Yarrowia lipolytica: one gene and its partner. The protein of the gene in region 1 purifies or fractionates together with the protein of each later gene. This does not show direct contact. Links are inferred from orthologs where the notes say so. Each region holds a gene or a part of one and is shown on either strand. Other genes may lie near its edges. The genes, in order: YALI1_E01159g and YALI1_B11794g.

Region 1 (15,374 bases):
CGCTGGAGTACGCCTTTTTCGGTAAGGACTACGTGCGGACCTTTGTGGCGCTCGCCACTTCGGCTCGACACTCAGCCTGGTGCATTTCCTGGGGAGAGGCCCAGCGGCAGTGCATTTATTCGGACCCCAAGTACGACGACGGGTACTACTCGTTTGAAGATCCGCCCTCCTCGGGCCTCGGAGCCGCTCGAATGGCTGCTCTGCTGACCTACCGATCCAGAGACTCGTTTGAAAACAAGTTTGGACGAGACACGCCCGACCCAACTCGACATAAGACAATTAACGGACCCCAACGACGAGGTCCTCAGACTGCTTCTGAGGAGCATTGGCTCATTCACAACGACGGTCACATGCGAGGAAAGAAGATGGCCGATGAAGAAGGTAGCTCCACTCCCACTGCCAACGGTGTTTCTCAGCCCTCTAGCGTGAGCACCAACGGTTCCATTCTCGACGATACATCTTCTGTCTCTTCTTCGTCTTCGTTTGTTCCTCTTGCTGTCAAGAAGAAGCCACCCACCCACTTCTCAGCCCAAAACTACCTCCGATACCAATCGGACAAGTTCACAAAGCGATTCGACGCCAACTGCTACATCGCAATCACCAGAAAGCTGGACACTCATGATGTGTCTCGAGAGAGAGCCGAATCTGTTGAGGCTGCTCTCCAGACTCTCGAGCAGAACGCTCTTATCATTGGTATTAAGTCTGACGGACTTTTCACATTCGCTGAGCAGGAACTCATTGCCGCAAACGTTAAGAACTCGCACCTGGTTACCATCGACTCGCCTGAGGGCCACGACGCCTTCCTGCTGGACTTTGCTCTCATTAACAAGGAGATTGTCGAGTTCCTGGCCGCCAACGTGCCCGACATTATCAACACCAACGGCGTCTCCTGGGAGGAGGCCAAGGTGGGCGAGCTGGGCAAGTCATCGCTGTTTGGTGAGGCCGAGGTCGAAATCACCCAGTGGTGATGTATTTATTTTCAACACTTATTTATTCAGTCCCCAACGTGACTTGCATGAGGCCAACTAATTGGTCTATAACACATAAAAAATACAGCATTATAGAACCTCTAAAACAGTGTAGATTAAAGCAGAGACGTAGTGGTGCGAGTAGTGGTACATCTAGTGACTTATTCTAGCTCGAATACCTGCCCCTTAGCCACTTGCACCGTACTCATACTTGTACCCCTGAGTCTCACAAGCAACACGAACTCGCACCAGATTTGTTCCTATTCCACAAGATTCTGGCACGTGAATCGGTGTATCACTGCTACGCGGTTTGATTTTTCCCCATGACAGTAGCTACAGTACCTAGAGTACATGTATTGTAGCCCAGTGCGCAGTTGTAAGAATCCTGCATCTCGCTTCCCTAAAGTATACATACAAGCCCTGCCAGATGCTCCATCTCCATGCACATATAACGGTGGTGCATAATCTGCAAAAAGTGAAACTGCGCAGATATCATGCCCTATAATGTGGCACATGGAGGGATCACGTGGAACGACTATCCCGTAATAGTTCAAGGGCTCTGCAAATTCAATAATATGTTGTTACAGTATGTCAAATTCAAACTCGGAAGATTAACCTCACGTCCCTGTCACTCTCTTCGCGTGATGTCCGTCAGGTGAAAATTAAGCTGTGGATAAGGAACTCAAAACCCATCACTGTGATAATTACTGTACATGATGTAAGGGACACAAAACCACATCCATCTTATATAACAAAAGCCCATTTTCTCTAATTTCACCTTCTTAAAGTACGCACAAATCCACGACATATCATGACTGTCAGAGACTGGGCCAACCGAGGCCAGACCTATGTCAATGCTCGAGCCCCAAACCTTCTGGGACGGTTCAGATCGACGGACGATGAAGACGAGAATAATCCTTCAACTGAGCTCGCTACTGATACCACTTCAGCCTATGGATCCACTGCTGCTTCCGTTGTCACAATGGCTAACTCCAAACCCGATGACGTGTCTCTCTACGCTACCTCATCGCACCACCATGAGTACTTCACAGGCTCCGCTTGGATCCATCCAGTCTACACCAAGGAGCAGATGGACGCTCTCGAGGTCAATCATCGAAAGACTGAGACGTTTTCCGACCGGGTCGCCCTGAGAGCTATTCTCCTCATGAGAATCATTTTCGACTTATGCACCGGCTACAAGCACCCAAAAGAAGGGGAAGCCCATCTACCAAAGTTCCGTATGACCACCAGACAGTGGCTAGACAGATTCCTGTTTCTAGAGTCCATTGCTGGAGTTCCCGGAATGGTGGCCGGGATGATCAGACACCTTCACTCGCTACGTGCCTTGAGACGTGATAGAGCCTGGATCGAGTCTCTGGTTGAGGAAGCTTACAATGAGAGAATGCATCTTCTGACATTCTTGAAGCTACAGAAGCCTAGTGTACAGATGCGCACTGGGCTCCTGATCGGTCAGATCATCTTCTACAACCTCTTCTTCATATCTTACTTGATCTCCCCCGCAACCTGTCATCGGTTCGTGGGCTACCTTGAGGAAGAGGCTGTCATCACCTACACCAGGTGTCTGGAAGACATTGACGCCGGACGTCTGCCGGAGCTCGCATCGATGGAAGTTCCTGACATCGCCAGAACCTACTGGCATATGGAGGACGACTGTACCATGCGTGATTTAATCCAATATGTGCGGGCCGACGAAGCTAAGCATTGTGAAGTGAATCACACTTTCGGAAATCTGCACCAGACCTCCGATCGAAACCCGTTTGCGCTCGTCATTGACAACGGGCGACCGCAACCTTCTAAGGACTTGACTACATTCCGAAGTGTCGGATGGAGACGAGATGAAATTGCTAACTAAAAAAGGAGATATGGTATTGTGACGTACAAGTAATGATATTTTTCGGTGATAACATAGTTGACATATGTACACCCTCTCTGAGTGCGTTCTTGGGATTAGGGTGCACACATGCCAACTGTAGACAGGCCATGTTTTTTCCTGGAGAGAAGCCCCTACATAGAAGGAGGTTCGTGTATTTACAATATACGTGAACCGCCCAGCGCGTTTGGGGCTGTACTTTCTTAGGCAGGGTGAAGGGGATGGGGCATATGGCAGAATATTATTGTCAACCGGAACATTCTTGACTTCTTTGTGGGCGATTTTTAGACTCAACTTTAAGTGATACAGCCTAAGGTCCGTTGCCGGGGAGACTGTAAAGGCAGCCGCACTGTACAGCATGAGCAGTCAGCTATACATAGTGTGTGATACCCAAGGTAAATAGATGGTGATATGTGGGTCTGTTTCATGTGTTTGAGGTTGGGATTCAATATTATTATTCATGTACTTGACACTGACCTGCATACACAATTGCTATGTTTTGTGTTCGCTATGTTTACATATTCCCTTCCAAGGTTTCGTATGTTTAGATTGTCCCAGAGGCAGAATGCAATGAAGCATGAAACATGCACTCCAAGTGCTGGCGTACATAACGTTACCAGAGAGCTGGTTTACATACCAACTGATATCTCAACCACATATCTATCAGACGTGTCATAACACAGGGTGAACATAAGAGGGCAGCACGGCATTTCAGGCCACTAGGACATTGCAACACCACTCGGACAGCGCTCCACCACACAGACACTACACACACACGTTAAACAAACACTCGACACTCCACTCGACACTTGACACTCGACAAGTAATAGCAATAGCAAGCGTACTTCAGCCATAGTACGCTATCGACAGCCAGTTTCATGGTAATTGCACGACACAAACACTTATAACATGCTATCCACGTGTGCTTCCAATCTCGAGAAGCAGAGAGACGATTTTGTTCGACTGAATGGATGGGAAACTTGGGATATCGACTATGTTAGACCATCATCGATTGGCTTGCATGAGTTCGTCAATCAGCGCAAGGCCACGCTGGAACCAGTTCTTAAGAATAGCTCCTCTGAAGGAGAGTGGTTTTTGGAACATACAGACCTGTTACCAAGGCTTGTGGCATTGGTCAAAGACACACCAAGGCTGGTTGTATTAGCAGCAGGGAACGAGGATGATATCGACAACAATGATGGACACAATGCGGAGGATACAGATCACGACAAAGAAAGGTTGGAGGGAATCGCGACACTGTGTCACCAGATGGAAGTGGCTATTGAGTACACTGAGCTGTGTGAACAAGTGATTGGACATATCGACGCGGAAATTAGTCAATGCATGAGCACGGTCTTTGAGATCAAGGAGAAACGGCTCGAGTCTAGTTTCACAGGGCAGATTTCTGCATCCCAACTCGACCATGTGGCCAAAGAAGTATACCCTTGGTTGACTCGTCAGGACAAAAGTATCAAGGAGACCTTCTGTCAACTCAACGATACCAAGATTAAGCCGCTGACTGTGTCTCTCGGTTTCATTCCCGAGAGGGTGGCCCAGTTCTCTTCCAGATGTGAGCCCATTTTCCCGACATTTTCATCTCTGGTGAACATGAACTGGACCAATCTGGAACAGCAGTGGCACAATCTTAAGGGGGAGTTTGCATTGGTGAATGAGGAGTTGTCGACCAAGAAATGGTCTTCGATTCTGCAGTTGGCCATCGACCAGCTCGGTGAAGATCTCGACGCGGCATTACTGACTGTTCTCCAGCGAGTCTGCAACGACAAGAACATGTTTGTGGAGGAAGTTAAGGTTCTATCGACTAAGAGACTGTCTACCAACTCGTCAATCTTCTCCGAGTGCTCTGAAACCACAGAGATATCGGATCATGGAGCCATCTCGCCACGGCTGTCATTCGCACCCCAGTTTCCCGTCAATAGAAGACTGCATATGCGAGTTGTGTCTCTGGACAGATTCTCACCCAAGCCTGTGATCAAACGACACTCAACCAGCGAGAATCACGTACTTCGAGATATCGACAGCAGCAAATTGAACCAGCAAATTGAAAGCGACAAACAGCTTCAGGAGCGAAACGACTATGCAAACATATCCTCTTCTGATTTATCCAACTCTTCTTCTTCGTCAGTGATTGTGTCTACACCTGACTCAGACGCACTGGAGGCATCGGAGCCAGTGGTACCTCTCAAAGACATTCAGTTGCCTCCATCCACCAGTTCACACAAGAAGTCTCCGTTGCATGATATGAGTGTCATCATGGAGACGTTGGAGTCTATTGAGTCTCCTACAGCTTCTCTAGGCGAAGGGACCACTTTGAGGGACTCTAAGGACTCAAAGTGTGGCTGCAACAGCGGACCCATTCCCAATGCTGCCATTTTCAACAAGTTTAGAAGTCTCAAGACAACTAAATCTTTCATTCCCGTTACTAACTCTCCAAACAGACTGCTCCACAGATACCCCCAACTGGGCAGCAAACCTTCCACTCCCGATTCAGCATCCATCTGCTCGCTATCATCTTGTTCCGATACGTCTTTTGGATCATCTATCGGTTCTACTTCTACAGTGAAGCTAGGTGAGACTCCTTCTCTTCAGCCTAACGGTTCAAGCAGACAGTCTCTCATTCCCCTACCTTCTCCAAACCGGCCTGCCAGCCGATCGTCATCTAGACTAGGCTCCTACGCGACCCCCTTGGCTACTCCTACTCGAAAGCCTCGTCTGAGTTACTCAGGAACTGGAGCTGCCGGTCTTTCAGGTATGCGGTCGGTTAGCGACACCCCCGTCCTGACCGACGCCTCTAGGCGACGTAGCGAGTCCAGCACAAGCAGCAACAGTCGCCGAAGCTCCTTTCTCCCTTCACCTGTGAAGCGTCAATCTCTGATGCCTCCCAGTACTCCTCGAGCAGTGTCAAGAGAAGGATACAACTCGTACCACTCTGGACGAGTGTCTCGGGAAGGCATTAGAGGTGCTTCTTCTCGTGATGGTATGTCTCTTGCCAACGCTGGCGTGCGTATCGCCAAACCAGTGGTCCGGTAGGAATTCTCAACCATAGATCGCGTTGACCGTGGCCTATGGTGGGGACGTAGCTTAAGGCTTTGATTCTAAGTGTGACAGGAGGTCGTCCCCTTGACTACAAATCACACAAAGCCTTTGACCAGGAGGATTGTTGATGAGGTACAGGTACAGTACCGAGGGATATGGATCTTTTTTCAATTCTACAGTTTTCAAAGCGCTCTGGCAGTGCTACGTATACACACCATTTCTATAGCATCGAAAAATATATATTATATACAGAATACAGACGAATATGTGGGTGGATTAGTTGTTAGTCCTGCTGTTCTTGAGCCAGTCTTCATTTCCAAAGACCTTGGTGAAGATCTTTTCTTCGTCCTTCTTCTTAATCTCCTCAGGCGTGAACCATCGGATGCCCTCCTCTGTCTGTTCACCAATCTGAACGCGCTTGTCCTCTCCCATGTATAGACGCTTGTAGAGAATGACTGACGAGAGGACCACAAAAGGGAGCGACAGCAGGATCATCTTGAATCTGTGTTAGAAGTCGAATAATGAGAGCAATGTCAAAACACAGTTCACCCAAGCTTAGCACAAGTGTACCGCAGTGTATCACAAGACTGTGGTAGCGTCTATATACCAAGATCCTATGGCGCGACTGTGAGGCAAAAACCAGTAAACAAAAAAGCTTCAAGCTCTAGTGTTGGTTCTCTAGAGCGGTACGTTCATCGTATCTGTGTCGCTGTGGCAAGGTCTGTGTACACTCCAGATCATCAATACTGCTCTCTTATTGCACCTCCCTCCTTCAACTCACCCTCGAGCCTTGTCGGCAGGAACCAGCATGTCGACTGGCAGAGGTCGTGGTTTGCTCTTCAGATTTGTGGGTCGGCTGATTCTCTTGGCCATTGTATTGTGTTGATGTGATGCTTATTCTACCATGTCACAATCTTGCATATCTCTACATTCTGATAGGTTAAGAGTTAGTTGGAGTTACATTGTGAACTTGATGTTTGGGGAAGGGCTGATTAAAAGTATGCCATTCTAACAAAATCGGGTGTTTGCAAAGGAAACGCTCAAAACAATCTTCTTTGATTATTAAGGCACTTCTGGGGGCGATTCTTTGTGCATGCTCAGTGCCATGCCAGTTAGCTTTTTCTGCATGCATGAATCGAAAATAAATTTTGGATCTTTTTTTTCAGTTCACAAACCACTATACAACAGCATAAGAAAATGGCCAAGGCACCAGCAAAGAAGTTCTCCGGAGGCGCCCAGAGGGAGTCTGCAGGCGGCGAGCAGCGAAAGACTGCCGTCTTCAAAATGAACACTGATCTCGGTCAGCATATTCTTAAAAACCCTCTGGTGGCCCAGGGTATTGTCGACAAGTCCGACATTAAGCCCAGTGATACCGTTCTGGAGGTCGGTCCCGGTACTGGTAACCTGACTGTTCGAATTCTCGAGAAGGCTCGAAAGGTGATTGCTGTGGAGATGGATCCTCGAATGGCTGCCGAGCTGACCAAGCGAGTGCAGGGCAAGCCTGAGCAGAAGAAACTGGAAATCATGCTGGGAGACTGTATTAAGACAGAGCTTCCTTACTTTGACGTTTGCATTTCCAACACACCTTACCAGATTTCTTCTCCCCTGGTTTTCAAGCTGCTGAACCAGCCTCGACCCCCGCGAGTGTCAGTGCTGATGTTCCAGCACGAGTTTGCCATGCGTCTTCTGGCTCGACCCGGTGATTCTCTGTACTGCCGACTGTCTGTCAATGTGCAGATGTGGGCCAAGGTTTCTCACGTCATGAAGGTCGGCCGAGGTAACTTTCGACCTCCTCCCAATGTTGAGTCTTCGGTCGTCAAGATTGAGGTCAAGAACCCCCGGCCTCCTATCGACTTCAACGAGTGGGATGGTCTTCTGCGAGTCTGTTTCGTTCGAAAGAACAAGACTATCAACGCCGGCTTCAAGACCAGCGCTGTTCTGGCAGTTCTCGAGAAGAACTACCAGACCTGGCTCTCCACCCAGGGCGAGATCATTCCTGAGGGATCCAACCTCTCTGACGTTGTCAAGCAGAAGATCAACAAGATTCTCACCGACACCGGCATCGGAGAAATGCGATCCGCAAAGTGTGACCAGACCGAGTTTCTCACTCTGCTGAATGAGTTCCACAAAGCTGGCATCTACTTTGCCTAAAAGGTACGATATTACGTTACTGTACACACAAAAAAGGTTAGAAGAAAGGAGAATCTTACGACATAGCCGACCTCCGGCGCTATTTATTGAATAAACGGTTTTCACTGTACCGCTGAACTAATGTTATTGTACTTGTACTGTACTCAGGGTAGCGTACATTACAGTATGTTAGTTGGGGTGTATGATGATATCACATAATTACAAATTGACCTACACTCATCACTTCCAATGAACTATTCATGCAATTAAATATCTATGTTTTTTATTTTATTCGTCATATACCTGTAACACATGTATGACGACAGTGTTAGGCCCAGTGTCCAACCAGGGACATGAGCAGCATTCCGAGAGTGAGCCCGACAAGGCCAACGCAGACTCGAAGAGGAGGAGCATCTTGGAGGTCACCAAACAGCCAGTCAAAGCCTAACATCTCTACAACACCAGCGTACACCAAAACTCCGCAACAGAGACCGTCGATACTACCGAGAGCCCACAGAGTGGTAGGGTTCTCTTCAAAGTGGTCAAGCACGCCAAGACCAATGGCCATGCCGATGGGGGTGATGATGGAGAACCACAAGCACATGAGGCACTTGGAAATGAGGCGAGACTCCTTCAGGCCAGCAATACGCGACCCTAGACCAACACCCTCGAACATTTGGTGGAACAGAATGGCAATAAACAAGGTGATGAAGGTGTCCTCCTCAGCAAGAGAGACGGTGACTCCAACCAGAACAGAGTGGAAAATGATACCTGCCTCCATAATCCAGACGGAAAACTTATCAGTGGGGTCAATGAGACCGTGGGAGTGGCATCCGCCGGCGATAGGAGGAGGGGGAGCAGTTGTCTGAGTAGTACTTCTTCTGACAGAAGAGGAAGAGAGACGAGAGGGAGCCTTTTCAATAACATCTTCGACAATCTCTTGAACGGGTTCTCCCCCATTGTCAGAGTCCTCAGTGTCTCCTCCAGTGTTGTCAATAATATGGCCGTGGTCGTGATCATGTCCGCACTTGGTCTCCTCGCAGTCTTGGTTCTCGTTTCGTCGAGCCTCTAGGGTGTTTGCTCTCCATCTCAAAAGACGGGCTCCGAGGTATTCAATGAGGAAGGAGATGAAGAGGCCAGCCAGCACAAAGGCCAGGGGAGTAGGCTTGTACTCAACCTCTCCGATGCAGGGGTTGTTGAACTCTTCGGTAGCCTCAGCTCCTAGATGAACGAATGCAGTGGACAGAACGACACCTGTGCCAAACTGTTTGATGAAGGTCATAGGGAGAGTTTCGAGATTGATTCTCCAGATGGATTCAGCCAGCACTGGAGGGAACACGCCCAGAGCAGAAGTACCGAGCACAGCAAACAGAGCACCTACTCTGAGACCAACATTGGTGTTTCTCTCCTTCTTGGAACAATCAACTTCTTCGATGATTGATTCCTGGGGGTCGGAATTGTCCACCTTGCAGATTTCTTCTCCTGTATCTTCGTTGGTTCTGCATATCAGACGTCGTCTGGAAATGTGAACCACGTGTTTGGGCTTGTAATTTCCCTCGGGCACTGAAATAGCCGAATCAAGTGCACTAGGATTTGTTCCTGCGTAGAAGTCTGACAAATCTACTGCTGTGGTATCTGCTGACGTCGCTGCTGTCGTGTGGATCAGCAATAATGGGAGAAATGAAACCAGTCTCATTGTGGAGATGGCTGTGTCGTAGAAAAAGAAGAGAATGAAGCGAAAGGCTCTGGGCTCTTATAAAAGTTCAAAGAACGTGTAATGTTGAAACTGCCGCAACTGCTGATTTGGTTGAATACTAGTATTATGGTCCCTTTTTTGCTGCTTTAGTCTATGCTTGGTCTCATCAGGTATCAGCCGCAGTCTTTATCTTAGTGCTTAATTTTATTGGCCCCGGGCAATAATGGTGACGAAGGTCGCTGTTGAAGTTATAGAAGCCCATGCTAATGTGCCAGATCATCTCTTATATAGAAAGGGACCAGGATCTGGCATGAGATATGGCCTTGTCCACTTAACGTATTTGATTGGGAAAAACACAGTACCGTCGGCTTGGCATACGCACATGATGTCGGTTGTCTGCATGAGTGCTCTGTTTTAGGCAGATGAGACCCTTGTTGAGTCACACTTTTTCGTGCAACAAGAGCCCATGGAGTTCCCCCGAATGTAATACATCTATTTTATGCCCGTTTAAATGCATATAAATGTATTAGCACCAGGTACCACCTACAGCCTGTGGACGTATACATGTATCGTATGTAGGTGGACGGCGGCACTTAGCGCAAATGTAGGTACGAATACTACCGTACATATATTGCCGTCCAATACGTGCCTCTTACATACTCACCGCTACTTGTAGTTTGTCCCATGTTCAATGCGGTTCAAATTTGTATGTGCTCGTACAAGGGCATGTAGTGGCACGAAAAATGTACTTTTTTTTTCAACTTGTTGCTACGTCTACTCCTTCCGGTCAAACCCGCCACAGCCCGGTCTATTCCGAAAAAGAGGGGAGCGAATTTTGTCAGGCCCACGCCAAGAGAAGATTTGGTGAATTTGCTCGGTCCTGCAGCGCAAAGTCAACCCCCACGACAACTGCATGCCAGAGATTGATGGAAATATTCGCCGTTTTCTCGCGAGGTAATATTGTCGGTCTTTGTCTCGTTGCGACTGTTCATTATTTGTCCCCAAGCCGCTTGTAAGCAACCTCTCAAATCATTATCGCGACTACTACAAGTACGAGTAGACAACGGATACTGCCAAGTCGTGCTGCGCCCGCTCTTTGCTGTATTAGTGTCCACTCGTACATACAATATCGTGTGCTAAGAGCAGGAAAATATGAGGGAGCGGATGTGTAGCTCCAGTTATGTCAAGACTGACGATGAGGGGACATGTATACCTGTAAGCGACTCTCAAGTGATAAGTTTCAATGACTATAGACATATAACCATCCGTCATACTTAATTTATTTAGCAGTATCTCACAAGTACAGTACGAGTACATACGAGTCCGCACAAGTCCGTTCTCAATGTCTCTCTACAAAGTGCAACATCACTCAAACCTTGAACCATCTCTTCAATCGTAATCCCTAGTCATAAGCCCAGGACCACCAAACGGGCAAGATGTGCGGGGTTAAGACTACTCGTACAGTATACCTGTGGGCCGTTTATAATACAGTAGTCGTATCCCACGACATTGCTTTATGACGCTGTGTCCTTGCACAGTATCTGAACACGTATGACAAAACATGAGCTGTCAAATTCACTGTCTACATCGTGTTTTGTTTCTCTCTGTTGTGTCGATACCAAGTGATACATCCAAATTCGCTGATCATCGCAAACTACTGTGACATATTCTGACTAAGAGCAGGGACACAAGATACAAACCAGTTTCTCTCGGTATTCACAGGTCTCTCTAATCGTCATCATACTGTAGCTTTTACCATAGCTACGAGTATATAGCTATTACTGTAATTCCTCATCCTCTTATCATTACAGCCACCAGAGTACAGTCAGGGACTAGAAACCATATTTGGCACCACGCTCGTATTTATGTGCAACACGTGACCAGTTCCATTATGTAGCCCTAGATTCATCTTGAAAGATATTTCAGGACCGGAATTTAACACGGCTATGTCCTCTTCAGTTACAGCCCTTTACTTGCAACCTCAAAACCATCACACATCATCCATCCCCGCTGTCCAAACCAGGACCACCCCCTTTACACGTTGCCTCTAAACAGTGATCGATGCATGGTCCCAATAAGGAAGTGTATAAGGGCTAGCTTCCCTAAGAGAACCAACACTTCCGGGTAACACGCGTCTCCCAGACAACCGGCAGCGTAAACAACACTAATCTTATTTACGCGTTTTCAAGATTAGGGGCACAAGCAGAAAAACTCCTGTCCATCACAACCACTCCACGACACATACAGATACCCAGTGAGTACCAGGCGAGACGAGAATGGTGTTGCTAGACGCACAAGCGGGCGATTTTTCCGATTGGCGGAAGCTGTTGTGCGGTTTTTGAGCGTCACGCCCCCCCTTGACATGGACCGTTGGCCCGTGATTCACAACCTAGAGACGAGATAGCGACAGAGGTGTTGTCTGCTGCTGGCTGAGAGCCTTGTTGCTTGTGTTGATAGGCGAGTCTACCGAATGTCACAGATATGTTGATGGTGGGGAATAATACGACCCCTATTTATGGATGATGCGAATTGGTCAATGTGGTGGCATTCAGGAGAGACAACGACACAGACACAGACACGTATATCGACGATTGTGTATACAGAAGACCTGCGGTGAGGTCCGACTTCATTGGATGAAGTTTTAAACCCATAACACGTCCACAATCACGAGATAACACGTCCTTCTGGCGGTCTACAAACAAATTCAGGAGATATTATTCTATGCTTACAGCACACCACAGCACGCACAGGACAGCACCTCCCAACATATTATCGTGCCACCACAACGTACCACAGCGCAAACACGACCCAGCTACTTTTTGCTAACACAGATGCGAGAAATTGTCCATCTATCCATCGGCCAGTGCGGTAACCAGATCGGTTCTGCTTTCTGGCAGACCATCTCCGGCGAGCACGGCATCGGAGCCGACGGAGTCTACGGCGGCGAGGAGGATATTCAGCGAGAGCGACTCAACGTCTACTACAACGAGGCTGCTGCCAACAAGTACGTTCCCCGAGCCGTTCTTGTTGATCTTGAGCCCGGCACCATGGACGCTGTCAAGGGCGGTCCTTACGGGGAGCTTTTCCGACCTGATAACTTTGTCTTTGGCCAGTCTTCCGCTGGTAACAACTGGGCCAAGGGTCACTACACTGAGGGCGCTGAGCTTGTCGACCAGGTTCTCGATGTTGTGCGACGTGAGGCCGAGAACTGTGACTCGCTCCAGGGTTTCCAGATCACGCACTCTCTGGGTGGAGGTACCGGTTCTGGTATGGGTACCCTGATGATCGCCAAGATCCGAGAGGAGTTCCCCGAGCGAATGATGGCCACTTTCTCCGTTGTCCCCTCGCCCAAGGTGTCCGACACAGTTGTCGAGCCCTACAACGCCACCCTGTCGGTCCACCAGCTGGTCGAGCACTCCGACGAGACCTTCTGTATCGATAACGAGGCCCTTTACGACATTTGCATGCGAACCCTGCAGCTGCCACACCCCGTCTACGGCGACCTCAACCACCTGGTCTCCTCTGTCATGTCTGGTGTCACCACTTGTCTCCGATACCCCGGCCAGCTCAACTCCGATCTGCGAAAGCTCGCCGTCAACCTGGTGCCCTTCCCCCGACTCCATTTCTTCATGGTCGGCTACGCTCCTCTCACATCTCTCAAGTCCGCTAACTTCCGATCTCTGTCCGTCCCCGAGCTCACCCAGCAGATGTTTGATTCTCGAAACATGATGGCTGCTTCGGACCCCAAGCACGGCCGATACCTGACCGCCGCCGCCTTCTTCCGAGGAAAGGTCTCCGTCAAGGAGGTTGAGGACCAGATGCTGTCTGTCCAGACCCGAAACTCCAACTACTTTGTCGAGTGGATCCCTCACAATGTGCAGACTGCTGTGTGTTCCCAGCCACCCAAGGGTCTGCCCATGTCCGGAACCTTTGTTGGAAACTCCACCTCTATCCAGGAGCTGTTCAAGCGAGTCGGTGACCAGTTTTCAGCCATGTTCCGACGAAAGGCCTTCTTGCACTGGTACACCAGCGAGGGTATGGACGAGATGGAATTCAGCGAGGCTGAGTCTAACATGAACGATCTTGTCTGCGAATACCAGCAGTACCAGGAGGCTCAGGTCGACGACGAAGAGGGCGAGTTCTACGACGAGCAGGACATGATGTAAGGAGAGTTTAGTTTGTTATCTAATTAATTATATGGCGTATAGTAAAGGGTGTTGTATGTGCCTGTTGCTCTACAGTACAAGTCCGAGTAGTGTGGGCGATAGAGTTTACGGCCCTGCTTTTGAGGTGTTGTGGCCGGTGTGCTTGTGCTTTTACTGGTAGTTTATTTGGGGCTACACATAGCAAATGTGGAGGGGCATATCCGGGGTACTTACGGATTATTTTGCGCGGGGCAAGTGCAGCCGGAGATTGTGTGAACGTGAAGATGGTCCGAGACAGGGAAGTGGAAGTGGTAAATGTTTATTTCTCGTTAAAATAGCCCGTGTACTAAAAAGGGACAGGAGGTGGCTAGGCGGTCGAGTGATCTATGTGATAAGGTGCACACAGCAATACCATAGCTACAGGTGAGAAGAATGTGTCTATCGTGTGTACTTGTAGTCACTATGGATGTGTACAACTTGGTGATGGTTGTACTCGTCTATGGCTATACAGATGGCTGTTTCGTTGCCGGTTATATGGGCAGTGTTTTGAAATAGCAGCTCTGTTTCTAGACTAGAGCGGCGGTGGCGTGTAATGATATTGGCTTGCTTGATAGCTGAACGTCAAGCGTACCAGTACAGTACGTACTGTAGGGTGACATGGACGGAGCTACGGAGGTTAGAGTTCTTCCGATCAGGATTTAGTGGGGAACTGAAACACTTCGCTGCAGCAAAAAAGAGTGATAGGGGAGCGCGAGGGAGGTCGCGTGGTGGGGGGCAGTGTGGGTACAAAGAAAAGCGATTCCGTGAAGTTTTCACGTGTAAAACAATGCTAATAAAGAGACACTTTATCATGTCATACGCTCTAGCCTGGTTTAGAAAGACATGAAACCTCAAAAGTCACCGGTCCATTGAGTTTTATCTTAGGTTCAAAACGATAGTCTGAACGTGGGGTTGAAGCTTTGGGTGTGCCTTGAAGTGGTAGTAGCAGACTTGCGGGTGTACGTACAAAGGGTTTTCTTTTCCAGATTAAAGCTGGCGCATGTGATTTCCCCCTCTATAAAGAGAGCGCGGGACCATATAGTTATCAACACTCTTACTACGATACACCATGTCACATCATTTTGAACAGCGATACGATACCACCGACGAAAAGTTGGTAATTGAGAGATGTGAGCAAATGAAGGCCGGCCTGGGCGTCAATAGAGCCACCAAGAACATGGCCAGTCCCCTCGGACGGTTTTCCCTGGGTGCAGGATGGCTAATGCACTGGCTGTACCTCCATGACACAAGTCTGACGGGTAACATGCGGACCATTGTTCCTGTCGCAGGCTTCGTGGCTCTTGTGGGAGTTGCATTTTTCATCAGCAAGGCTGTTGTTCCCAAGCCAATCGTCTTTTCGGAACCCAACTCGCATGTTACCATCAACTACTACCGGTTTTTGTTTGTGGTTCTCTCTACTCGGCTTTACATCAATGGCAAGTTTGGTCTCT
Region 2 (16,535 bases), on another chromosome or scaffold:
ACCATCATGGGCATGACGACGAGGAAGACGATTGGTCTGACGAGTCGGTAGATGGAGATGACGACGAGGAGAGAGAAGAGGAGATGGAAGAGGTTGAAAGTGGTGATGAAGACGAGGAGATGGAGGACGGCGAAACCGAGGAGGATGAGGAGGAAGGAGACGAGCATGATGAAGATGAGGAGGAGGAAGACTCTGAAATCTGTGACATGCAGCTGCAGAATGATATCAAGGCCGGAAAGGAAATCTTCAACACGTATGGAGACCTGCCAAACTCCATGTTGCTGGCCCGGTACGGTTTTGCCATCTGGAACAACTCGCAGGAAGTCATTTCTCTGTGGAAAGAAGCCATGGCCTACGCCAAGAAGGCTGGACGAATGGACCGGCTCAAGATGCTGCGGAAACGGGACCCCGAGCTGTCGGAAAAGGTGTTTGTGGCCTACTCGGACGGCGATGTGAACAAAATTGAGTGGGGACCTTGTGTCAACGCCATGCTCACTCTGCTGCTCATGACCGACCAGGAGTACAAGAAGAAGGTGTGTTCTCGACGTCTGGACAAGGATATCAACAAGGCCAAGAAGCTGTTGTTAAATGCTCGACTCAAAAGGTACGAGGATGGAGGTATGACTTCGGAGGAGTACAAAAAGGTGCTGCCCAAGGTAGAGGGAACCAAGAAGGCTGCCATTGTCATTCGAGGTACTGAGAAGAAGGTCATTGAGACCGCTCTCAAGACGCTGAAGTAGTTTGGATGGGTATTATAGGGGATGCATTGGTCTGAATGATACAGACGAGTTGATAATAATGAAAAGTGCATGGTACAGTAAACAGTAGATGAAAAGGCAAATCGATACTTGTACCAGAACAAGTCTGGAAAGTAATAGAAGGGCAACACAGGTATAAAACATGCAAGAATCGTATCAAAGGTGCCAGAACGATACCTTTCTAGCCTGGTTACTCCGGTCTTTTGTCAGCACCTTTCTAAACCAGTAGTCCCTGTCAAAATCGGAACTTCATCCAATCCGATATAGTGTAGGGGCTATCACATCACGCTCTCAAGTTGAGAACCGTGGAGACCGGGGTTCGATTCCCCGTATCGGAGTGTATAGTGTCGTCTAGACGTATTCTTTTTGCTGTGTTGCTAACCACATATCTTCAAAAGTTGTGATGATTTATGTAATCGGAACTTTGAGAACTGTTCTTAATTTTCGGATATGGAGGTTTGAGAAGATGGCAGCAGTTGTCAGAGGTATGTTCTTGTTATCGTGCGACTTTCAGAGTCGTTATAAGAGTATTCGTGACTCTGTGGTGTAAGTAATGAGGGTAGTGCTAGAAGAGGACATAGTACATAGGCAAAGTCGGTGAAGACTTGTAATATTGACTTGAAATTTGATATTTATACCAATCGACCCTCTTCAGATCTATTTGTACTTTTCAGAATTGAGATCTGATCATTATTGGTCATGTTAGGATGCCCTACTCCAAGCCAACAGGCAAAGATGAATCCACTAGAGACTATTAAATCTACAAACATTCGGCTAATCATGACATAAATATATTGTTAAATGGTGCTAAACAGTGTGAGTGAGTTAATGAGAGAACTTTCAATGGTTAGAGGTGAGTCTTTAGTTGCGGAACAGCGACAGTCGTCGTCCTAACTTCTTCAAGTTACCCTGGCTCTGTCTGGTCTTGACTCTCGAGAACTGGCCGTATCCGTCCTCGTCAAAGGCGTCGTATCGGTCCGTGACGCCCTCCGTGTTATATCTTCCCCGGTCTTCTTCTCGCGAGTGGTATGTGGTCAGGTTGTCTGTGTCGTCGGCCAAAGGATTGTCACCGTAGCTGTGGTGATGGGACACTGGGGGGGGAGGAGGAGCCTTCTTGGTGGCCAAAAAGTCCAGGTAGTTGGGGTCGAAGAGCTCCTGTTGGCTCATGTGTTCCGAGTGGCTGGTTTCGGGCTTTTCTTCAGGTAGCGAGTCGGCCCAGGGGTTATTGGAGTTTCTGGACGCGTTGGTGCCCGATCTGTGGCGGGTGGAAGGCGTGAAGTTGAAGGAGCCGGTGCTATGGGATCTGGTTTTGGGGGGGTCGTAAGCGGGAGCGCTATTATTGATGGAGTAGACGGAGGAACTTCTGGAGTTGTCGTAGTGAGACGAGCTGTAGGTATCTGCTCTCTTCATGGCCGGCTTGGAAGCCTTGGAAGCCTTGGAAGCGGTTCGTCCGTTGCCTTCCCGTGCTCGATCAAAGCCTGGCTCGTATTCCAGAAAGTACGAGGTGGAAGGCGGCTTAAGAGGTGATCTCTTGGGACTGGAGGGGGACTTGGAGGGGGACTTGGGTGTAGTGGTTCGGTCGTGGTAGCCATAGTCGTCATCCAGAGAGGTGGCCGAGTGGTTGTATTCGTCGTTATGGAGCTTGACGGCGGAGGGGCGTCGCTTGATGTACTTGGAGGTGACCTTTCGGTACTCCAGCTGGTTCTGGATCTTGCCCAGGATTGAGGTCATAGTGAGTGAGTGAGTGGGGGGGGGGCAATGGTGAACGAAGTTGACCTACTTGTAGTATGAACGACAGACGCTGAGGTTCGAAAAAGAAGACAACTGCAGACGCTGCGCTTTAGTACTAGTCGCCCTCAAGGCTAACCCGCTATACCTCGGAGGCGAAGACGGCCCATTACAGTTAGGGTGCGAGACAGGATGCAGATGCTGTATTTTTATTTTTTTTCTTGGGAAGCTCAGAGTGAGGTATATTGAGTGGATATCAGAGACATGGATGGCCGAAAGAAGGACAGAATCCGGTGAAATCAACTGGTGGAATGAAGTTCTTGCTGATGAGGTGGTTACCCCGCTCCTCGCAACCCCACAGGGGCTACGACCAACCTCTGTTGGCCAGGGTAAACTTTTCCGAGAAATGATACTAAGCTCTGCCAAGATTAGTCTCGGAGCCAAACCGAGGAGGCCCAGAGGAGACCAGCACTTTACGGGCCTTGGCCATGCACCAAAAAGTGTGCCAGTGTGCGGTACAGAGGCACAGCTCACGCTCACATACCAGCCAAGACCGGGAGCTATACGCGACGGGCCTTTTCGGACTATTTGACGGGCTTCATAGCACCGATTCCGACTCTGTAGATGCATGAGCGGTGAATGGAGCTTCGACATTCACTTATAGTACATTCCAAGTAGCCCCTTTGAGTCTCTTGCTACGCTACAGTCAGTCTTCCTACAGGCTCCCCACCGAGCCTCATCTGTGACGAAATCTGGCCGACATCAACAGCGAGAGTTTGGAGAGTTTGTCGCTGCCAACCTTTAACGGCTCGGAAATAATACCCGGAATCCGGGCAAAGAATCTCGAAAGTCGGAAATGAAAGCCGTTGGTGGATCACATGATTGCCGAAAGACGGTATACACGATGTACACTGACGGCCTTGTACAGTGACTAACGGTCTCCAGGAGTAATACCGTAGCACCACAGCTACTGCACCCCCACACTAACACTGAGCTTCACTCGGTGGATGGAATCGCGTGGCACTCAGCCGTGGTCTTACTCCCGTTCTCAAGCTCATTCTCAACACTGTAAATACATTACACCCCGACTTGTACACAGCCTTGTAGCCCGACCAAAACCAGCCCGAAGATTAATTAGGTTGTGGGGTGATCATGAGATCAGAACATGAGGGTGTTTACGAGTGATGTAGAGGTTGTCGATGGTGTCTGATGGTTGATGGTTGATGGTTATCTGGGTGTCCTGTCTGATAATTTCAACTGCAATGCCCTTCTGGGCCTACGCCTCCAAAACACGGTTAAAACACCCTTTTCGGTCCTAGAAACGCGGTATTTGGATATGGTACTCGTAGACGCCATATCTACCTCCCTGCAAACCCCCAACTCCCCATCTCTATTACTCGTGGTATTTCAGGTCATCGTTTAAATATAGAACCGCAAGGCACAGTGAACCTTCAGTCGAAAGTATAGTATAGAAACTGCCAGACTGATAATTACAAATACAAGTGCAGAAACACAAGACAGGACGCCCATTCCAAGACCTGGCGCTTGAGATGGTCCAAACCATGTCTTCATGGTATCGTTTTGATCGCTGCGAGCTCCAGAGTACTATTATATATTCGAACCCCCATAAAATCCACACCATCTTCAACCATGCCCACTGGTAAAAACCATCCACACACTACAAATGCTATTTCTATTCCTGCTCCCCATTCTCCAATCTCAACGTTACACCTCTCTGAGTTATTTACGTCACTTGCGATCAGGCACTACAAGTAGTACATACACTTGTAGCTGTGAGTAGATGAGACTGTGATTCCCTTTCTATAAAGCAAGCCGGCGGTTGCTTGCATTTAGTTGTATTTCACACCATGTCTGTAGTCTGACAGAAGACTATGAAAAGATAACCGCTCAGGCGGTTGTCGCCGGAACCAGCGAACAACAATCAATCAAATCTATTCGCTGTATATATGCAAAGAATATGTATAACCATGTTTGCGCGCCAAATGTGCCACTGGTCGACCGTTTCTAGAATAGAGTGCGTAAGACAGCCAAGGTGGAGGTGGTGCTGGAACAGGTACAAATAAAGAAGAATGCCAAGTCGTCATTAGAAGAAATGTGAATACGATGATGCGAGCAAGCGACAGGGGGCGTCTGACTCAGATGGAGAGGCTGCATTAGAGTGAGAACATCATCTCGTTTATCTCTCTTCCGTGCGTGTCACTCTATCTGGCCCACCCAAAAGCTCAAATGCTATGATTGGCGGCGCGTAGGTTCGTGTTAGGCTGGGTATATGTACGCCGGAACCGTGCCTTTCCTCTTAAGAAGGTCGTTTTTTCCTCCTTTTCCTTCTTCCTACTTTTACGCCTGCGATCTGTTGGCCTCCTTGACGGGGAGCGCAGATTCGGCGCCAGAGTTGTCGCTCTTTCGGTCGAGCTCCAGCTTGGCGTACCAGGCTCCTCCCAGCAGCGTCACAAGAATGCCCATCATGTTGAGCGGGGTGACGGTGAGGTTGAAGAAAAAGATGGCCAGCACAATGGTGAGGATCTGCTTCACGTTGGCGGCCACGGTCATGGTCAGCGCGCCCGTCTTCTTGTTGGTGGTGAAGGAGACAATGTTCAGGCCAAACGCAATGATGCCGTTGAGCAGCAGATGCAGCATCAGCTTCTGGCTGTACTCAAACTCAATCTCCGTGTAGTCGATGCCTCCGAGGAACGACAGCGGGCCCGAGGTGGCAGAGGCAGTGGCACCAACCACGTCCTCGGGGCTCGAGAGCCGAAGACCCAGCACGTCCAGCTCGCCGGCCAGGTAGGCGTAGACGAGGGTCTGGACAAATGCAAGAGGTGACATACGGTAGAGCAGCTCGAGAGGGGAGAGTCTGAACCGGCCGGTCTGGATACGGTTAGTGACCACGGTCTTGACGGCCGCGAGAACGGCGCCCAGAATGGTGAGAATGAAGCCCATGGCGGTGAAGTAGTAATCTCCTGCAGTGGCGAATCCGACGCCGGCACACACGAGAACCAGAGACAGGTAGGTGAGTACCGTGTACGAGTGTCGCAGGAAGACCACGTTGATGAGCATGGCGAAGAAGGGGGTGGTTGCCCGGACCACCTGGTGGAAGGGCACGGTGACCATCTGCAGCGACACGTTGGAGATGGCAATGTTGATGGTGTAGAGGATGGAGAAGAGAATGAGGGTGGTGTTCTCCTGATCGGATAGCCGGGTCAGTTTAAAGACGCCTCTCCAGTGTAAGAGCGCGCAACCCAGAGTGCCACACAGGGTGTGGATGCCGGTGAGGGTGTACGGGAAGGGGAAGGATCCGAGGACCGCCTTGTTGAAGAGCGTGAGGGCCAGGTTGAAGAAAAAGTAGAGCCCCAGCCAGGTGCATTGTGTTCGCAGTGTTTCTGTCATGGTTGGGTGTCCTTGTGTGGTGATGGGTTATGTCGTCAGGATTGTCGTCACGGTTGTCGTCACGGTTGTCGTCAGGGGTGTCCGCAATGTTTCTGGTGTTGTGTCGTGTAAGATGACGTGTTGGACTGGTGTGATATCCTTCAGGTTAACGAATGACTTGTTGACTGGTGATGCTGTCCTTGTATGATACTTGCACTTGGTTGCGTGACTGATAAGACAAGATTGGTGCTAGTGATAAGCCGGGGAAGTTGGAGGTGGGTGTGATGTCGGTGGAGCGCTGCCAGACGGGAGATGTGCTAGGAGCGAGAAGCGTGAGGGAGAGAGAAAGAGGGAGGGCGAAAGTGGTTGTGTTTGGTGATGTTGAGAAAAGGGCACTTGGCGCTGCAGCTGCCATGCTTTCTTGTGGTGAAACAGTCGGAGGGATAGTTTAGGCTATATGCTGGTGGAGCTTAATGCCATCACGCGAGAAATGAAAATTGAAGGAGGTTTTGGGCAGGTGAGTTGGGCAAGTTTTGGGCAGGTTTTGGGCAGGTTTTGGGCAGGTTTTGGGCAGGTTTTGGCGGTGGTGATTCGAGCTGTTTCAAACCTGCGAAAATAGATCGATTGTAGATATTTGTCTGCCCCATTGCCTGTCTAGATGTCCAACTGTCCAACTGCTGCACGGCAGATTTTGCACACTCACAAGAAACAAAAAAAAAAAAAAAAAACCAGACTTGTGGTGCGTGAATGCATTTGAGGTGACAACAAGGGAGCGGTAGAAAGACGTCAAAAATAGCCCAGACAAGGCACCAAAAGGGGGGTGGAGACTTTTATCTGCGGCTACAATAGTACGCGCGCATCCAGGGGCTACGCGTTGGTGGTGGTCGATATGGGTGTCACAACCAGATGGACAATGTGTATCACCAATATCAAAAATGGCAAGCTATATTTACTCCATTTCCCCATTTGGCTCCACCCGGCTGAGTCGCTCCGAACTCTAGTTGCCCCAGATGTGCGGTTTTACGTAGGCTTTTTGGGTCACCACTTTTGCCGGCTCTGCAATAGGCAAGCTCAAAATAATAGTCTCTTTAGGTTGAGGGTGGAGAGGGATGACAGCGGTCGAAAACTGCAGCGGGTAGCGCGTAGCGGGGGGCTTGGGTTGGAAGGGGGCAACTTGCACTCAACTGGCGGGGGCCTGGCGAGTATCTCCGTCTGTCTAAATCTGCGTCCGGTCCTCTCCATCGGGCCCCGGTCCTCCCCATCGGGCCCCGGTCCTCCCTAACGGCCAACTCTACGGTCAATAAACACGGGGCAATGTTAACGTTGCAAGCAAGGGATGGTGTAGAGCTACTGCGGCCGTTAGTGGGCTACTTGGACTAGTTTGGTTACTAACTGGGTGAGCCCGGTCCCCGATAATACGCCAACGACAACGGTGACGACGACAACGACGATAACGAAGACTCTCTTCCCTCTCCGCCTCTCAGATACACTCCAACGACGATCAGCAGCACGTTTGTCGTGTGCTGCCAAGCCTCCAGACGCTAGAAAGAGTGGAGATTATTGGATGTTTTTGATAAGCCGACTTTGGTGGTTTGGTGGTTTGGCGGTTTGGAGGTTTGGCGGTTTGGAGGTTTGGCGGTTTGGGGCGTGGATTTTGGGGAAATGCCAAAGATGCGACCGCAGAAGCCTGCCTGGGCATGTCGTACCTAGAATCGTATTCCCGTGCCTGAAAGATGTGTTGTATTGTAGTGTCGTGTCGTAGTGTCTATTGTGCAAATGTTTGTCTAGCATTCCACACAAGGTTCGGATATCCATTGTCCCATGCACAGCATTATGTTATAAAAAAAGCACTAATTTTATTTTTTTCCAACGTTCACTGGAAGTGACCAGACAGGCAAGGAGATAGTGGAAAAGTGACAAAAGACAGTGACAGCCAAGTACAGCAAAGCACAGCAAAGTGACATCATGAGCAACTGCGAGGCGACATGGAGCAACTGTTGGCAACGCACTGTTGGCAACGCACTGTTGGCAACGCATTGTGGCTACGCATTGTGGCTACGCATTGTTGGCAACTGTGGCCACTGTTGGGAGCAACTGTAGGCAACGCAACCTCTACACCAACTGCTTGTACAATACCAGTACGCCAAGATCAATCGCCATGGGCTGACTCCGGCCTTGCCCACCGTGGTGCAGAAGGCATCGACATTGGTCCGCTGTCATACGTCATTGCGCGGCTGTTCCGAACGGCCTGCCCTGAGAGCGATACAGTAGTACGACTGCCGTCAAATAGCCGAGACCTGGCACCTGGTTAGCCCAGCTCAGTCCGCACACCGCACACTCCATTTACGCCGCTTCCTCTGGCCACAAGTAACTTATCCAAAATAACTCATCCAAAATAACTCTCCTTGTTGCTCTCCCTCCCCTCCCTGTCTCATTCGCTTGGGTTTCCATGCTCTCGTATAAAGCGTATTCTGTCTCTCTCGGTGGGTCTAATTTAGGAGACTTCACCAACCGAGTCCACTGACTAAGATGCCACCGAGCCACAATGCCACCGAGCCACCAAGCCCCAATGCCAGAATGCCACCCGAGGTACAGATGCGTTGCAGACACGTTTCTTCGTCTCCGCCAATGTGTGCGGAATGTGCCGTACATATCTCCTCTGCGCCATTGTCATCATTGTTAGAATTGTCATCATTGTTAGACCGGCAGAATTGTACCTACAATATGGTAGGGTTCACGGCAATTACTGCAGTGACCACCCCAAGGTTGCCATTGTGGAGCAGGTGGAGCCGGCAGGGTAAGCTCCAGCGTCGCTTTCAGAGCCGATCTAGCCCATTTTGAACATGTTACGGCCGTCCAAGACCCACAAGGAGCTGTCCAAGCCACTCAAACTCCCTCTCCCATCCACCCAACTTGTACTCGTACGGTGCTTCTCCCACTTTACTTCTCACTCAACATTCCCAAAAGAAAGAAAAAAAAAAATTTGGAATGCATAGCATACTCCGTCGGAAAGTCTGATGTCGGCTCCCGCCCCCTTTCCGGCCGGTCAGCGAGTCGGCCTCCGAGATACAAAAGAATGACAACTGACAGATCACGTGTCTTGTCGCGGTTCTGGTTTGTCGCGGTTCTGGTTTGTCGCGGTTCTGGTTTGTCCTGATCTGGTCTTGTCGCAGAAGCAATAGCTGCTATACTACACCCTTCTTTTAACGTCATCCCTCGTATCTCATCCAACACTACCTCCTCCAACGTTACACTGCCGAGTCTTGCACCTACTCTCAAGGACCCACCGCGTATCACCACCGCCGATCAGGGGGCAGCCGATAAGACGTTGGGGACACCGTCTGCCGGCATAGCCCAGGCCGTATCGATGAGGTGGATCTGAGACGGGGGTATTCAATGTTTCGTATGTCGATGCAGTACGAGACCGATATTGGTAAACCGTGGATGGTGTATTCGTACAGTACCGGCCATCTTTCAAGTACAGTACATACTTGTACTGTGCTCGTGCCCATACAGCACTTCATCGCACTGTATCGTACAGTATGAATGTCGGATCGGAACCCGATCCACCTCATCGCCCCGAACTGGAATAATTAAACCCTCGCACCCCCGCTGAGACAGAAAAAGAAATTCGTGCTGCCGAAATTGGTCCACCATACGAGGTTGCTACAACACAATAAGCGAGCCAGTGAGCGCTATTTCGGGAGAACCGCGGGGTTGCACCAGGTCATGTGATCTCATCTTCCATGATTCGGTACCGTCACGTGAGTTTTGGCGAAACTCAACTCCCCAATATGGCGTCTATATGGACATGCTAAATGGAGGAGAGATAGGAAGAATACCACATATGGTGCATTACTTGTAGTAGGTAAAGAAAGCTCAAGTAAAGACGGACGCCACCATACAGCACACGGGGGTCAAGAGGCGTCACATACCCCAACAATAAGACACCAGCCGGTCCAAGACCTCCCACGTTCCCCTTGTTAAATCTTTAACAAAATCAAACTATAATGTCAAGTAAATTACAAGATATGCACCACGTCACCCCATTCGATCTTTGAAGATTCCACAGATTCCACTGACATCAGAACACAAGCAGTAGGTCTATTTTCAATGAGATTGGCAATAACACAATTATTGTACCGTACCGTCGCCACTAGTCCCGAGTGGCCACCTTCCATGAGATACCCCATTGTCTTCAAAGAGATCACCTTCAGATGTATCGTCACAACATCACAGGTAACTGAAACAACGCTCAACCGCCTCACACACATACAAATACCCGGCGGTCGCTCCCATATCGGACTCATTACGCCACTACGTCCCACTGTTCGTTCTGTCATCAATAAAAATGCTATTACAATGCTATAAGGTCATCAAGACGTCTATGCCAATCCCTCGCAAACTGTGCGAACCGTTGCAAACGGCTGCAACCAACACCATGAAAGACTCGTACATACTCTGTATGTATCCTATGCTCCAGCTCGAACTCGTAAGCACTCGCTTCGCGCGTACTCTGCGGCTCGTTCGCTTACTGCAGCAACTCGTCTCGGTAATGCTTCTGGAAGTTGTTTCGTCGCAACTCCCATGCATCCTTCCTGTTGGCAACCCGCTTCTCCTCCTTCCAAATCTTCTTCTGCTCTCTGAAAGCAGCAGGGTCTCTGACATCGGGCCGTCGAATGTCCACAGCATTGACAGTGGCTTGGCCGTCTCGAGGCTCGGGCTTGAGAGACTGTTTGTAGTACCGGGCCATGGATCTGTGTCCGATTCGTGCACCGGAGGGCAGAGCCAGCTGGGTGCCGGTCTCGTCGGTATAGAGCATTCCGTCGTCGTACTCGTCGTCGGAGTTGATCTCCTCATCGTCATCCTCCCAGTCCTCATCGTCGTTGGCCACGGCATCAGAAACAGGCAACTTCTTATCATAGGACGAGGTGAAGTCGTAAAAATCTCCCAGCTCGAGCTTCTCGTCCTCAGACTCATAGGGAATTCGCACGTGGCCCTTCATGAGCATGTGCTGTCTCACAGACTCGAGCGATCGGCCCACAAAAGAGCACGACAGACACTCAAAGCCGAGACCGACCTTCTGGCCCAGGTAGGACATGAGCCCGGCGAGATCGGTAAGATACTTCTGCTCGGGAATGTACAGAGAGTACTTTTTGGTCATGTGCTCAACGTTGGCTTCCACGGAGTCGTTATGCACGCCGCACACCACACAGTCCGTGTTGGGGATGGCTCGTCGCAGTGCCAGCTTGTTGATGGTATCTGTGTCGAGATGCTTGACGCTCTGCAGGGTCTCTTCATCGAGATTAAGGTGCTTGAGCTTTGTGTTGAGGTCTTCAGATAGGGAAGAAGACACATCCGAAGACTCGTCTCCGTTTGTGGCAGTCTCGTGGATGGCATCGCCCTCAGTGGGAGTATCAACGCCCGAGCCGTAGCCCAGAGAAAACTCAGACGCCTGGGACTCGGTGGGGGATGAGGGTCGCACGACTCGTCGGGCCATCCGCTCCTGGTACTTCATCTCCTTCTTTGTGATCTGCTTCTGTCGTCGCTCGGGAACAGCCTCGGACTGCTGGAGCACCTTGGACGCAAACACGTTGGCAGCGATGGGCAGCAGACCGGCCACCTTTCGCTTGAGATTGTATCTGTGCCAGTCCGTCTTCATGTGTTCACGCTGCGTTTCCGAGTTGGGAAACTGCTGAACACACGTGTTGCATGTGTATGTTGTTGACATGGTCGTTGAAGTATTTCTGTCTTGTCGTAAAAAAATTGTGTTGGTGGAACACTGCTAAGTCATGAGAAGATAGCCAAGTCTATATAAGAGATACCATGCAAAAAATTCAGAGTATCTAAACCTAGTTGCAAACCTTATGCAAGTATGATCGCAAGTGTGATTCTGGAGCAACCAAGATATGAGGGGGATAGCGCGGACTTGTCAACACAAGAGTGATACCAGAGTGACCGTCTCGCCTCTCCGAGTCGATCGGTGGTTTCAGATTGTTCTTAGCTTCCCCACACACCGAAATGTACCTGAGCCACTCTCTCCGCCTTGATCTACGTCTCACCCATCTTCTAGATGATTCCTAACAGCATAGAAACTGCAAGTGTGACTAGAAAAGAGCATCGGAGACGGCTGAAGTCCATGGTGAGTTCCGAATGGACTCTATGGGATCGATAGAGTTGTTGATACTAGTATTTCAAACGGAGTGTGGCTGAAACATCCCATATGCACGGCTGGAAGGTGGGATACAGTGGAGGGAGGGAGGGGGAGCGAGGTGTTGGCTATCTGAGCGTTTACTCCTGCTACTGTCCACTCTGAAGATCTACAGCCAGATGCTACAGTATAAAGGCTGTATGTAGTTTCGCTGTCTGCTTTTTGTATGCGCAAATACCGATATGTACTTGTAGAAAACATTCTAGCCCGAATCCAAGTCCGTGATATCAACGGAAATCAAAAGATTTCAAGCGATAATGACCCTTTGACCTATCAGGCAACCGCCAAATCATTTACAGTGTCTACCGGTATTCTGTTCTACAGTTTCTATCCTCTCCATTGCTTCTCTATCCACTACTTGTAGATCCCTCCACCACTACTCGGACGAACAGAGCTTCCAGATGGAACAAGAAGGAAACACGGACTTTTTACCAAGAATGAAGCACTCTATTCAAGAAAGAAACACTCCGTTTAAAGGTCTTGGAGATGCTAAAGCTCCTATGTACGGAGTATGTACTTGTACGCTTCTTCACGCCAGTCTTAAGTCGAGATAATACTTGTACCAGTCCGCCCAGCCAAAATCCCGCCTCAAGCACCGGCTACAAATGTGCAAGTAGTCTGACAACTGCCCGGTATGATGTCCGTCTCTCCATCATCTCCGTCACCGTCAAACCCCCAGCACTTCCCCAGTGGTCCTGCCGCTTCGAAAGAAGTACTAGTAATGTACGTACAGCAGGAGATCCCGTGATGCAGACTAGGATACGAATACGAGTATGTACATCTCTTGTACTGGGCTTGTATATACACAGAAAGGTACAAGTACAAGTAGCATCAAGTTGCCACATGAAGCACCTTTCTACAGTCGGTCTACAGTCTACAGTCATCGTCGGCTACGCTCAGGATTCGCTCAGTGACATAGATCTACTACGCTCGTCGACTAGTCGAAGAATAATTCATTTTTATTGATAAATACTCATGAGAGACTTATCGGAACTTGGTGAAACCAATGTCAGCAGCCTTCTCTCGGAAGGACTGTCGGCAGAGGTTGAGGCCGTACTTTCGGATAACAGCGTTCTGGTTGTTGGTGATTCGACACTTTCGACCGCCCTTACCGTAGTGTCGGGGGTGGGAGAACCAAATGTTTTCGTGAGCCATCTTAGTTAGTAAATGTGTGTGTTTGAATCTGGTGTTTTACGATGAAGCCAGCGGATCGGAAATCAACCACCTTCATATAGAGAAGGAACCGGCAGATTTTTGCAGTCAGAGTTCCGGTGGCAAATGGTGGCAAATGCGGGACTCAGACATTGGTGGGGGACACACACACGAATCATGTCATGATGCTGTTCACGACCAACGACAAAATTCACACAATCCCACCAGCCATGCCCGTGTTGACCTCGTCGTTCCGGCAGCAAATTCCCGAACGCTCGTTCATCGTCGTTTCGTCGGTTTTCACCTCGCGTTCCCTCAATCCCTATCGCTTTCAGTACCCACCTTGAATATCTGTCGTGGTTTTGGTGTCAAAGAGAAGTTTCAGAAAATCGATAAATGCTCCCAGCAGGACTGCAAACTCTGCGTTGGGAAATTCACGTGACTAGGGTTTAAAAAAGTAGGGTTAATTGAGAAGTTGTGGGTTCGATTCCCAACGGTGGCCATTGTCGTCAGTTCGATTCCAGGCACCGTCAAAACTGCCATAAAATAAACTTCTAAAGCTTAAAAATATTCGTGCATGTGCAGCCAAAATTTCGACCCTCTATTCTTCACATACGACGACATTGGATAACGAAATGCACTCACATCGATCCAGTAAAAAGTCGCAGAAGCCATTCAAGTCCAAGCATGCGTCCAAGGGCTCGATCAAGGCGTTGAACAAGGGCAAGATCGAAAAGGCGTCTGCCGGAAACAAGGCAGTCAAGACTATGGGCAAATGGGACCGGCGGAATCAGAAGGACCAGATTCGGGCTGCCAAAATGGTCGAACTGGCAACGGACCGTAAGCTGTTTGACGGCAAGAGCGGTGCCCCCAAGATTGTCACTGTTGTGGGCATGAGCGAGGACGTTGACGTGAATGGGCTGGTGTGCAAGATGATGGGTCTTGAATCTCTGCAGTCCAAAATCAGCACACACGAAGTCGAGCGATTCAAGCAGAAGTTCACGGTGATCACCCCGTCGTTGGACAACTTTCTGGAGGTTTTGGACGCTGCCCGAATCGCCGATTTTGTCATCCTGGCCTTCTCTCCTGTCGCTGCCTTTAACGACTCGGAGTACATTCTCAAGTGTGTTGCTGAGCAGGGAGTGAGTAATGTCATCTCTGTAGTCACAGAGACCGGAATGCTCACCGACAAGAAGCGCGTCGAGCGAATCGACGAGATCAAGACCTTTTCCGACTACTTTTTCCCCCAGGACAAGATTTTCGATATTGAGAACGCCACCGACTGTGCCAACCTGGTGCGAAACATTGCGCAGAAATTCCCCAAGGGTGTCAACTGGCGTGATCAGCGTGCTTTTGTGCTGGCTGATAACGTCCAGGAGGTTGACGGCCAGGTGTGCGTTTCAGGCGTTGTTCGAGGCAAGGGTTTCAATCTTCTGAGAACTGTTCATCTTCCCGGATACGGCGATTTCAAGATCGCCAAAGCTGAGGTGTTGAAGCATGGACAGGCCGAGTTGGTCATTCCCGGTGAGGACGTTTTGGCCAAGAATGACGGTGACGATGAAGATATGGACATGGAGGAGGATGACGTCATGGAAGAAGAAGAAGAAATCCAAGACCAGCAACTGGGCGTAAAAGTCGACGGGCATCATTACTTCCCTGACACGGCGCGAGAAGCCATGCAGGAAAAGTACGCCAAGCGCCGAGTCCCCAAGGGCACGTCTGAGCAGCAGGCCAAGTGGCTCATTGACGAGACTCTCATCAACTCTGACGACGAGTTTGAGGATGAGCAGATGGAGGAAGATGAAGTTGATATGGATGCTGAAGATGGCGCTCACGTTGAATTTGACATGGACGAGGAAACACGTCAGTTGGAGGAATACAAGAGCCTCCGAGAAGAGCTCGATTTCCCTGATGAAGTCGAACTCAAGCCTGGCGAGTCAGCCAAGGAGAGATTCGCAAAGTACCGAGGAATGAAGTCGCTTCGAAACTGGGATGCCTCTCAGGATGACTACCCCGAGGAGTACAAGAATTGCGTCACCTTCAACTACAACGCCATGAAGAACCGGGTTCTCAAGGACTCCACAGACCTGCAGCCAGGACAATACGTCAAGCTTTACATTGAGGCTCCCGTCAGCATTGTGTCCGAGGCCCAGGAACACGCAGACTCGCCGTTTGTTGTCTACGGACTGCACAAGTACGAGTCGGACCAGGCCGTGTGTCATGTGACTATGAACCCCTGTTTTGACCAGGAAGAGACAGCTCCCATCAAGTCTAAGGACGAGCTCATTTTGCAGCTTGGACCTCGACGACTGGTTGTAAACCCTCTCTACGGAACCGAGTCTACCATTGCCAAGTTTGACCGGTTCTTGACCCGGCCCTGTATGGCCACATACATTGGACCTGCCACCTTTGGCAATGTTCCTGCCCTGTGGTTCCGAAAGTCGGAAAACGGCGCGATGGAGCTAGTTGGAACCGGCTCGTTCGATTCCACCGACCCCCGCAAGATGCTCATCAAACGGGCCGTGCTCACCGGCCATCCCTTCAAGATCCACAAGAAGCTCGTCACCATCAGATACATGTTTTTCAACCCCGAAGACATCAACTGGTTCAAGGCCGTGCCGCTCTTTACCAAGATGGGCCGATCGGGCTTTATCAAAATGTCTCTAGGTACTCATGGATACATGAAGGCTACTTTCGACCAGCATCTTAACGGAATGGACACCGTCGCTATGGCTCTATACAAGAGAGTGTGGCCAAAGGTTGCCAGAGAGTTGGAGTAGACAATTATTAAATGCATTAACAGTTCAATTAGCAGTCCAGTTGCTCGTAGAGAGTTGAACGGCCACTACTGCACACTCAGCACTGTAGCATTCAGGTACATGCCCTGGTAGAGGGATAGAGATAGGATGAAGGGTAGTTTTCATGGGGTGATTTATGGAGTTTTTCAAGATGAGCACAACCATCTTTACACCCAGTCAGTACTCTGAAAGCTGGATTGTTCAAGTACAATCACCCAAGTAAAAAACCATGGTTGGGTTTTCAGAAAATGTCAAAAAAATGTCACATTTGGCCATGTTCTCGACTCAAGAAAGGGATTCAGGACACAAAAAGTAATCTAGTACTGATTTTATACCCACCAGTGTTCTTCTCATGTCTCTGGCATGCCTGGAAGTTGTGGATTGAGCCCCAGTACAACTTCTGGCATAACTAATTTCCAACTAAATTTAATGAAGGTTGATTGCAAATTACCAGTAGTAAAAAAAAAACAAACCAAAAAACAAACAAACAACAGTATGAAT

What was found.
Region 2: the proteins of YALI1_E01159g (region 1) and YALI1_B11794g purify together in Saccharomyces cerevisiae (affinity purification with mass spectrometry; 8 studies listed by BioGRID, with this or other methods). This does not show direct contact. The link is inferred for Yarrowia lipolytica from reciprocal best matches to the Saccharomyces cerevisiae genes DIM1 and TSR1.

Annotation. Positions count from the first base shown.
Region 1 is NC_090774.1:107,726-123,099, reverse strand, and holds YALI1_E01159g (uncharacterized protein), read left to right. Parts: upstream 1-7,110; coding exon 7,111-8,064; downstream 8,065-15,374. Other genes in the region: YALI1_E01235g (uncharacterized protein), read left to right, coding at 1-968; YALI1_E01213g (uncharacterized protein), read left to right, coding at 1,780-2,841; YALI1_E01193g (uncharacterized protein), read left to right, coding at 3,769-5,907; YALI1_E01163g (uncharacterized protein), read right to left, coding at 6,190-6,415, 6,695-6,786; YALI1_E01133g (uncharacterized protein), read right to left, coding at 8,372-9,739; YALI1_E01105g (beta-tubulin), read left to right, coding at 12,571-13,905; YALI1_E01081g (uncharacterized protein), read left to right, coding at 14,993-15,374. UniProt on the Saccharomyces cerevisiae protein: Specifically dimethylates two adjacent adenosines in the loop of a conserved hairpin near the 3'-end of 18S rRNA in the 40S particle.
Region 2 is NC_090771.1:1,165,628-1,182,162, forward strand, and holds YALI1_B11794g (uncharacterized protein), read left to right. Parts: upstream 1-13,871; coding exon 13,872-16,016; downstream 16,017-16,535. Other genes in the region: YALI1_B11648g (uncharacterized protein), read left to right, coding at 1-740; YALI1_B11681g (uncharacterized protein), read right to left, coding at 1,620-2,489; YALI1_B11715g (uncharacterized protein), read right to left, coding at 4,845-5,894; YALI1_B11719g (uncharacterized protein), read left to right, coding at 6,331-6,459, 6,504-6,620; YALI1_B11729g (uncharacterized protein), read right to left, coding at 7,171-7,342, 7,385-7,572; YALI1_B11759g (uncharacterized protein), read right to left, coding at 10,231-10,372, 10,418-11,604; YALI1_B11781g (uncharacterized protein), read left to right, coding at 12,571-13,050.